2 linked regions of the Caenorhabditis elegans genome follow. The protein of the gene in region 2 purifies or fractionates together with the protein of the main gene of each other region. This does not show direct contact. Each region holds a gene or a part of one and is shown on either strand. Other genes may lie near its edges.

Region 1 (3,759 bases), 4.5 Mb from region 2:
AGCGGTTCTATCACCATCTTCCTCGTCATTTTCCATTATAAAATTGCTATCGTCTTCGGTTTCCACTTTTGGAGCATCGCTGATGATTTCCGATTTGAGTTCGACTACCTAAAGTGGTATCAAAATTGAATTAATAAACTGATTAACAATGTTATTACCACTTGTGGCGTTGAGTCAACAGTCGCAATTTGTTTCTTTTTCAGTTTTGGAGGCGCTGGCCTTGAAGCCGCGGTTCCGGGTCTTCCCATTGATGTCATAGGTCTACCACCTCCAGCACCAGTCATTGGTCTGGAATTTTCTATGTCAAAAGCTGATTAAACTGTGTGTATCATCATCTCAATCTCAGTGTAAATTTCACTTTGACAACTTATTCTAGAATTTGAAAAAATGTTGGTCAAAGAAGGAGTAAACCAACAATGTTGAAGCCAAAAATTTGCCGGATAATTCAATTTCAGAAAATTATTTAAGTGTGCACTACATTTTTTAAAATGAACTGAAGATAAACCCAATCCGTAAGAGGTTACCTTATCAACGGGGGTCTATCTTCGGGCTTGATCATTCTCGGGCTCTCACCCATCCCACTATCATCAGTTTTCAAGGGTGACGTCACTGGCTGTTGGATCAGTAGTGATTGAGCTGACAAATCAGTTTCCATATTTGATATAACAGTTGGTTCAGAAATCTCATGATCGTCATAACCCTCATCTCCATTCTCATTGTTCGGAGTATCCGGTGCATCTCCATTCACAGCAATCATTGAGTCTTGTCGTTTAAAATGCCGTTCACTCGGGTCTTTTTTGCTCTTTTTGGGTTTTTCGTCTGTTGTGCTCTTTTCCTTCTTTTTCTCCTTGCTGGACTTTTCGCTTGACTTTTCGCTAGACCTGTCACTAGACTTATGCCGTTCTTTTGAACTCGAAGACTTTTTCTTCTTCTCTTTCTCTTCTGCAGATTTTTTCTTCTCCGATTTTTCCTTCTCTTCATGCGTTTCCTTAAAATGATAAAACTGAGTTTATGGGGAAACAAATATTTAAAAGTGCACTCTACCTTCTTACTGCTACGTTTTTTAGTAGTTGACTTCTCTTCTTCATCTCCCTTTTTGTCCTCTTTCTTTACTTTTTTCTTCTTTTTCTCCTCTCCGGTACCATTCCTTGAATTGAAACTCGTAGCATTTGTTCCCAACATTTGCAGCATCTGAATAAATGTAAAAGGTAAAAAAAGCACTAAGAACTGAGACGAGCGAAAGCAATGGCTAACTTGGTGTAGCACTGACCAATCTGGTAATGCACTGACCAAGTTGAAAACGGCTTAAATACTTTATCTTACTATTAAGCATATTTTTATCACAAAAAATCAGAAAATTTAAATAGAAAAAATGATTAGGGCACTAATTTAGTTTGATATAATTTACGGAAGAAATCGAATTTTTTTTTTAAGTTAAAAAAAAATTTCTGATTGACCAGATTTTTTAAAATTTGATTGAAGCGACTTCACATCGAATTGTAAATTCTGTTTAAAATTCTGCGCCTTCTTTTTTCATTACAGATATTTCTTGTTAATAGAATGTAAACTCACTTTGTTGGTTTCTTCCGCGTCCTTCCCCGATATTATTTTGGCGGCTTTGACGTTTTTGAGACTTCCGTCATCTAGAATCTTGATCAGCTTGTCAAGAAAGGCAGTTTTGGTGTTTTTGTCGTTGCCAGCGGACTTTATTTCATCGTCGGTGAAGTCAGTCTGTTAAAATGAAAATTTAGCGAAAATTTATGCGCTGACCAAGTTGGCACAGCACTGAGTAACTTGGCACAGCACTGACCAAAAACTTCGCATCACTGACAAACGAAAACTTTAAAACTAAAGTTGGGCACTGGTTTTTTCTCTTTTTTTCTCATACCACATTACATTTCTTAAAATCTACATTTTCGCGCATAATTTTTTATTATGAATAAAATTTTCAAATACCCACCTTCAAATACCCCGTAGACTTTATCACATTGCTAACTATATCAACAATAAATTTGAATGGTGGTCGTGAAAGCAGTTGATCAGTTAGTTGTGGTTTTTGAATTACTTTCTCAAGAATTTCCCGAGTTTCCTCAACGCTCATCGCACTTTTACTGCAAAAATCTCATTACAAGTTGCGAAAAACATGAAATACATGAAAAACAATATTAAGGTGAAAAATGCTGACAAAAAAGAGGAATGAAACAGCGGTAATACACGCAAGAGAGAGAGAGCACGCTAATATCAGGTGGCGCTGTGTGGCGAGTTGTTGAGGCAGGGGGCACGTTGTCATGGAGACCACCTTACGCGCAAAGAGTGCGTGAGACGATGAGAGCAGCAGAATAATGTGTCTTAGTTGAGGTATTTTGTGACTGATTACAATTCTTTAATTTTCGCACAATATATTGTATTTTTTTCTGATTATATAATACGTCAGAAAAATGGGTGAAAACAAAGAAGAAAGTAGACTGGAATGTTATAAATGGTGGTCAAATTGCGACCAGTACAAGAAATCGTGGAAAATTTTGTTTTTAGCAGATTTACATATATTATGAAAATCACATCGAAACTTTTAGGAAAACAATCTTCATCTAACAATATAATTTTTTCATTGACTCGTTCTTAGCTCTATAAAAACAAAGTAGAAGCTTCTCATGTAGATCAAAAATTATGATTTAATGTTCAGAGGTTTCCCGCGATTGTGGAAATCAAATAGAAATAATCCTTTATTTAAATATACACTGTTTTTATTTGATAAAAACATAAACAAATTGTTTATAAGCCGAATGCTAACATTTATTGTAGAGATATGTTTAAATTTATAATTTCCTGTTTAATATTGAGGTACTTATAACTTTCGTTTAAAAAAAAACATAAGTTCCAAAATCTAGAATAGTAGGCAAAAACGTGAAATAGGCTATATGAACGAAACGTAAAAAATGTCATTTGTTTAAGGCAGCTGAAATTGAATATGACGTCATTTGTAGTAGGCGTTAGAAAAATATATAGTTACAAGTATACTAGACTACTTATTTAAAAAAAAACAAACTAATTTGGTCAATAATTCTAATTTTTATTTATCTTTTTATATGGACAAACATAATAATACAATCCATTTTTTTTTCTACTTTCTTGTGGTTATGGGTATTTAGATTGTCCCATCTTAGGTTGACCTCTGGAAATTAGGGCGCCACATGGCTTTAATGCTTTGACGCCACGATGATTTTTTAAATGAAAATTGCACTATGTAAAAATTTGTGACGTCATATTTTATGAATTTTTGAATCCACGTATTGCCACGATTTCAGAGACCAACAAAAAAAGGGAACACGCTAATTACTCGTGTGTGCTACGTTGTGGTCTACTTTTCAGGATTATTGGATTTTATTGAATAGTACATTTCAGCACGTTTCAAAAATTGAAGAAAAAAACCGAGAAAAGTCCGTTTTCAGTAATGAAAATTCAATTAAAAAATGAAATTTGAATCGCCATGAATTTTTAGAAAAATTTCCAGAAGGTCCATTATTTTTTAGAAAGAGGTTCATTTTTGAAAAATATTTGAAAACTTTCTGTATATAGAAAACTATCAACAAAATATAAAGAAATCAATCACAATAAGCATATATATGTACAAAAAACAATAAGATTGAATTTCCGCAAAACATCATTCGCGCGCGAAACTAACTCAAATTCGGGTATGTACATTCAGCCATAATTGTCAATGTGAACGGGGGTTTCCCGTTTTTCTTATATTATATTTCC
Region 2 (3,759 bases):
TTAGGAAGATTGAAGTAATGAACTCACATAAAGTACTTGGCAGCATTCTCAAAATCCGAAGTGGCTTCTGCATTTTTGGCGTCATTTTTCTCTTCAGCAGCTTCCAGTTTTGTGCATCGCCCTCGCTCCACATAAATCGTCGCAATGTTGTAATAAGCTCGAGATTTGAGAACCTGAATTTTTTAAATGGAAAGTGTAAATTATCTGAATGCAATTAGGAGTTTCATTCTTGAATAATTGCGTTGTGCCTTATTTTGAAAAGCTGAAATATTTCATAGCAATATTCACAGCTGCTTCTAACAAGTTTCTAGGCAAGCATTCTGGAATCTTTTGGAATATACATTTTTATTTGAAAACATCTGAAACTTTTTCACCCAACTCGATCGAGAAATGTTTCAAGCTTCCAGAATGTTTGCATACCTGTAAACTTTCCGAAAACCACTAGAAGTTCGCAAAAATCAACATTGGATGCAATTTCACAGCTCTATTAAATATTGATCCTTTTCAGATGGTTTTTATGGTAGTTCAACGTGCTCTTCTGCCGCTAAATTTTTTGTGGTAACCTAGTTTGCAGGTCCCCTTTCAAATGACATAGATTTCATTCAGAAGTCTCATTGTAGGCTGAAATACTTTCCTTGTAACTATGGTTTATGTTGGAAACTTCGAAGAAAATTTAAGATGGAACTTTGTACATGTTTGCTAGCACGAAAATAATAAATCTCCTGTTGGTATAGCAACGGGTGCATTTTTTTTTCAAGTACAAAATCAAGTTCTACTCACTCTATCGCCCAACTCTTCGGCAAAATCCAGCTGTTTGAATGTGAAGGTGAGCGCGTCGTTGTAAGCGCCTTTCATCTTGAATATATTTCCCAAGTTGGCACACGACTTTGCTTCTCCCTCCTTGTTTCCAAGCAATCTGAAATTTTGTTTATTTTTTGTTTAAATTTCTTTCGCATTCGTTACCTTTCAACAAGAATGTCATACGTATGGAACTTGAGAGCTTGCTCATAATCTTTAAGCATTGTGTGTGCATTTCCGAGCTGACAATAGATAGCCGAGAGTAATGAAAAATCATCTGTGCCTACTTCCAACGCTTTTTTCAACAAGTCGATGCCTGAAATATTCAAATTCAATCAATTATTTACAAATAATAATAAAAAAGAAGTTACCTTTCTCATACTTTTGCATGCGAAAAAGACGTTCCCCTTCCTGTGTGAGCTTGTAGCAGGAACGGTCCTGCATCGCACCTTTCCCCGCTGCAAAAAAAAAATCGATTGATATTCTTCGATGACAAAGATTTCAGAAATCTGCACAATACTAGAAAAAAGGAGAGAAACACAAGCGATTAAGATTGAGAAAGAAGAATCGAAATGTGGTCTTTCAGAACAGAAAGGGTGGTCAATGTAGAAAAAAAGGTATTTGAATGATTTATTCGAACGAGTACGGACCAACAAACTCCTCTGTTTGTTCGTTGCACGGCCGCTCTCAGTACATGGAAAGAAACGTCCTTGCTATGTCTGCGGCAGCTCTCTCGTTCACTCCTCACGACAGATGAGCTAGTAACCGCGCGTTGACGTCATTTGTGTAAAGACGGCTAGGAAGTATTGTTTCGAGCAAAATATTTGTTAATTTAAAATGACAAAGGAATATAAACTGATAGTCTTAAAAGATACATTACTCAAAAAAAAACTCTCATATGAAAAATATAAATTATTACCTTAGAGTATCAAAAGTTCACATTTAATTACCACTCACTCAAAACAAATCTCTAACCACAGTTAATTACCAACAAACTGATTCAACTTGTTCAACTTCTGTTCCCTTTTCAATACTACTTGAAACATTTCACACTCACATAGCAAAGAGCCCAGCAACAACATATATTTACGTCGTGTTGCCCTGGTAACCGGGAGCGCTGCTCGACGAGCTCGCGTTTATTGTCATCACTAACGGTGTATCCTTAAGATGTCGAACGATATTCAAGGGTTTATTCTCCACTTTTTGAATGAAGAGCCGTTCAATCTCAACTTATCATCACTTCAATTCGACCAATTACCACCGCAGCAGTTGCTCCAAATTTTGAGTAATGTTTTGAGGTTGGTTAAGTCAAAAAAAGAAATTTAAAAAATGCGATATCGAGAAAAAACAGTTATGGTGTTTAAAATATTCACAAAAATTTTCCAGAAACGTGTGCTACATTTTTTGTGACAATTAAAAAACAGCTACTTTATTATTATTGTATCGTTATTTTTTCAAGAATTTTTCAAAGAAATATAAATAAATTTTTTTAATTTCTAAAAATAGCTTTACCTTTAATTGTACTTTTGGATGTTGCTCAAAAAAAGGCACAAAGTTACAATGTGCGTGTTAAATTTGCTGGTTGGCAAACTGATACTAATGTCAGTTTTTGAGCAATCTTCTTAAACTTTCTATTGAAAGTAATTATTTTATAGATTGCTGTGTAAATTTAAAAAAAATTTGACACAACAATAAAGAAAAGGGGTATCAGCAGGTCCACTTGGGTAGAATGTTCAAAAAATTCGGTTCTTTCTTATTTGTTTGCAAAATTTCAAAAGTCATAAAAAAATTAAGAAAAATTTGAATAAATTTTTTACAAACACATAAATGCTCTCACTGATAAAATTGAATTTAATAATATAAGAACAACGAAAATTTTTAAAATGTTCAGCTGGGTTTCCGACACGGACCGAATTGATATCAAAAGAGAGGCTGCTGAAGAGACTGCAATTCGTATTCTGAATATGCTCCGAATTCTCCGCTACAGACCACCGCAAGACCAGGATGAACAGTTCGTGCAAAACGAGGGCAATCACTAAACAGCATCTAATTTGACATTATATTACAGGGAAGAATGGCGTGCAGGGATTGTCGAAGGTCGCAAGACTAGCCTCTATCCTCTTCTGGTTTTTCTTTTTGAAAACTCAGAAGGTTTGAAAGAGCGCGCATATTTGTCAAAATATTTGATGAAGGTAATGAATTGCTATGCCAAAAGCCGACATGTTATGCTAGTGGTTTCTGGGGGGAGAGAAATAGATGTTGTCATTATTTTTTTTAAAAGAAAAATGATACATAGAGAACAAGCATCGTTCTGCTTGAATAGCTGATATAGTAGGCAAGACAGCCGAAGTTTTTGGTTTAGTTAGTCTCTGATCTAGGTACACATTGAATTAATGAATCAAGAAATGGCTAAACAGCTTCGCACTTTTTTGTAATTGGAAATACGTAAATTAATTATTTTCAGACAGATGTACCTGGAGAATTCTTCGATTATGATATTGAAGAGCTGCAAAATGAGATTGGAGAGTTGACAATGGAGTTTAAGGTTAATCACATGAGAGATTAGTCGTCACGATAGTGGATGAGCAAAAAAAAAGCAAAAACAAAAAAAAACAAAACAACTTTTCTACAGGAAATCCATGCTGAAATGAAAGGAATAATGGCAGACGTACTCTTGCTTGATGACATAAAAGAGGATTTAAAGTCAATGGAAAAAGAAAAACAAATTTTGCTCCGAAAGATTGAGAAGACCGAGAAGAAAGTGCAGAATATACCATATTTTGATAAGTAAGTTCAAATAATGTGAAAACTTCAAAAAAAAATTGTTCAAAAATAACAGGAAAATGTAGTCAAAATTTAATTAATTACTTGTTTTATGCGAAAAAAAGGAAAATTCGTTTAACAATAGAAAACTAATAAAAGTTTTCACTGACAAGTGAATTTGCTATCTGAATTCATCGT

What was found. The genes of interacting proteins can lie anywhere in the genome.
Region 1: the proteins of ift-81 (region 2) and dyf-11 fractionate together in Caenorhabditis elegans (co-fractionation; one large-scale study listed by BioGRID). This does not show direct contact.

Annotation. Positions count from the first base shown.
Region 1 is NC_003284.9:762,111-765,869, reverse strand, and holds the start of dyf-11 (TRAF3-interacting protein 1), read right to left. Parts: upstream 2,119-3,759; 5' UTR 2,102-2,118; coding exon 1,961-2,101; intron 1,732-1,960; coding exon 1,573-1,731; intron 1,192-1,572; coding exon 1,045-1,191; intron 989-1,044; coding exon 525-988; intron 289-524; coding exon 159-288; intron 109-158; coding exon 1-108.
Region 2 is NC_003284.9:5,296,785-5,300,543, forward strand, and holds the start of ift-81 (Intraflagellar transport protein 81 homolog), read left to right. Parts: upstream 1-1,776; 5' UTR 1,777-1,847; intron 1,848-1,880; 5' UTR 1,881-1,911; intron 1,912-1,942; 5' UTR 1,943-1,965; coding exon 1,966-2,096; intron 2,097-2,689; coding exon 2,690-2,809; intron 2,810-2,866; coding exon 2,867-2,990; intron 2,991-3,262; coding exon 3,263-3,343; intron 3,344-3,430; coding exon 3,431-3,585; intron 3,586-3,759. Other genes in the region: ags-3 (Tetratricopeptide repeat protein 28), read right to left, coding at 28-173, 781-916, 964-1,114, 1,170-1,242.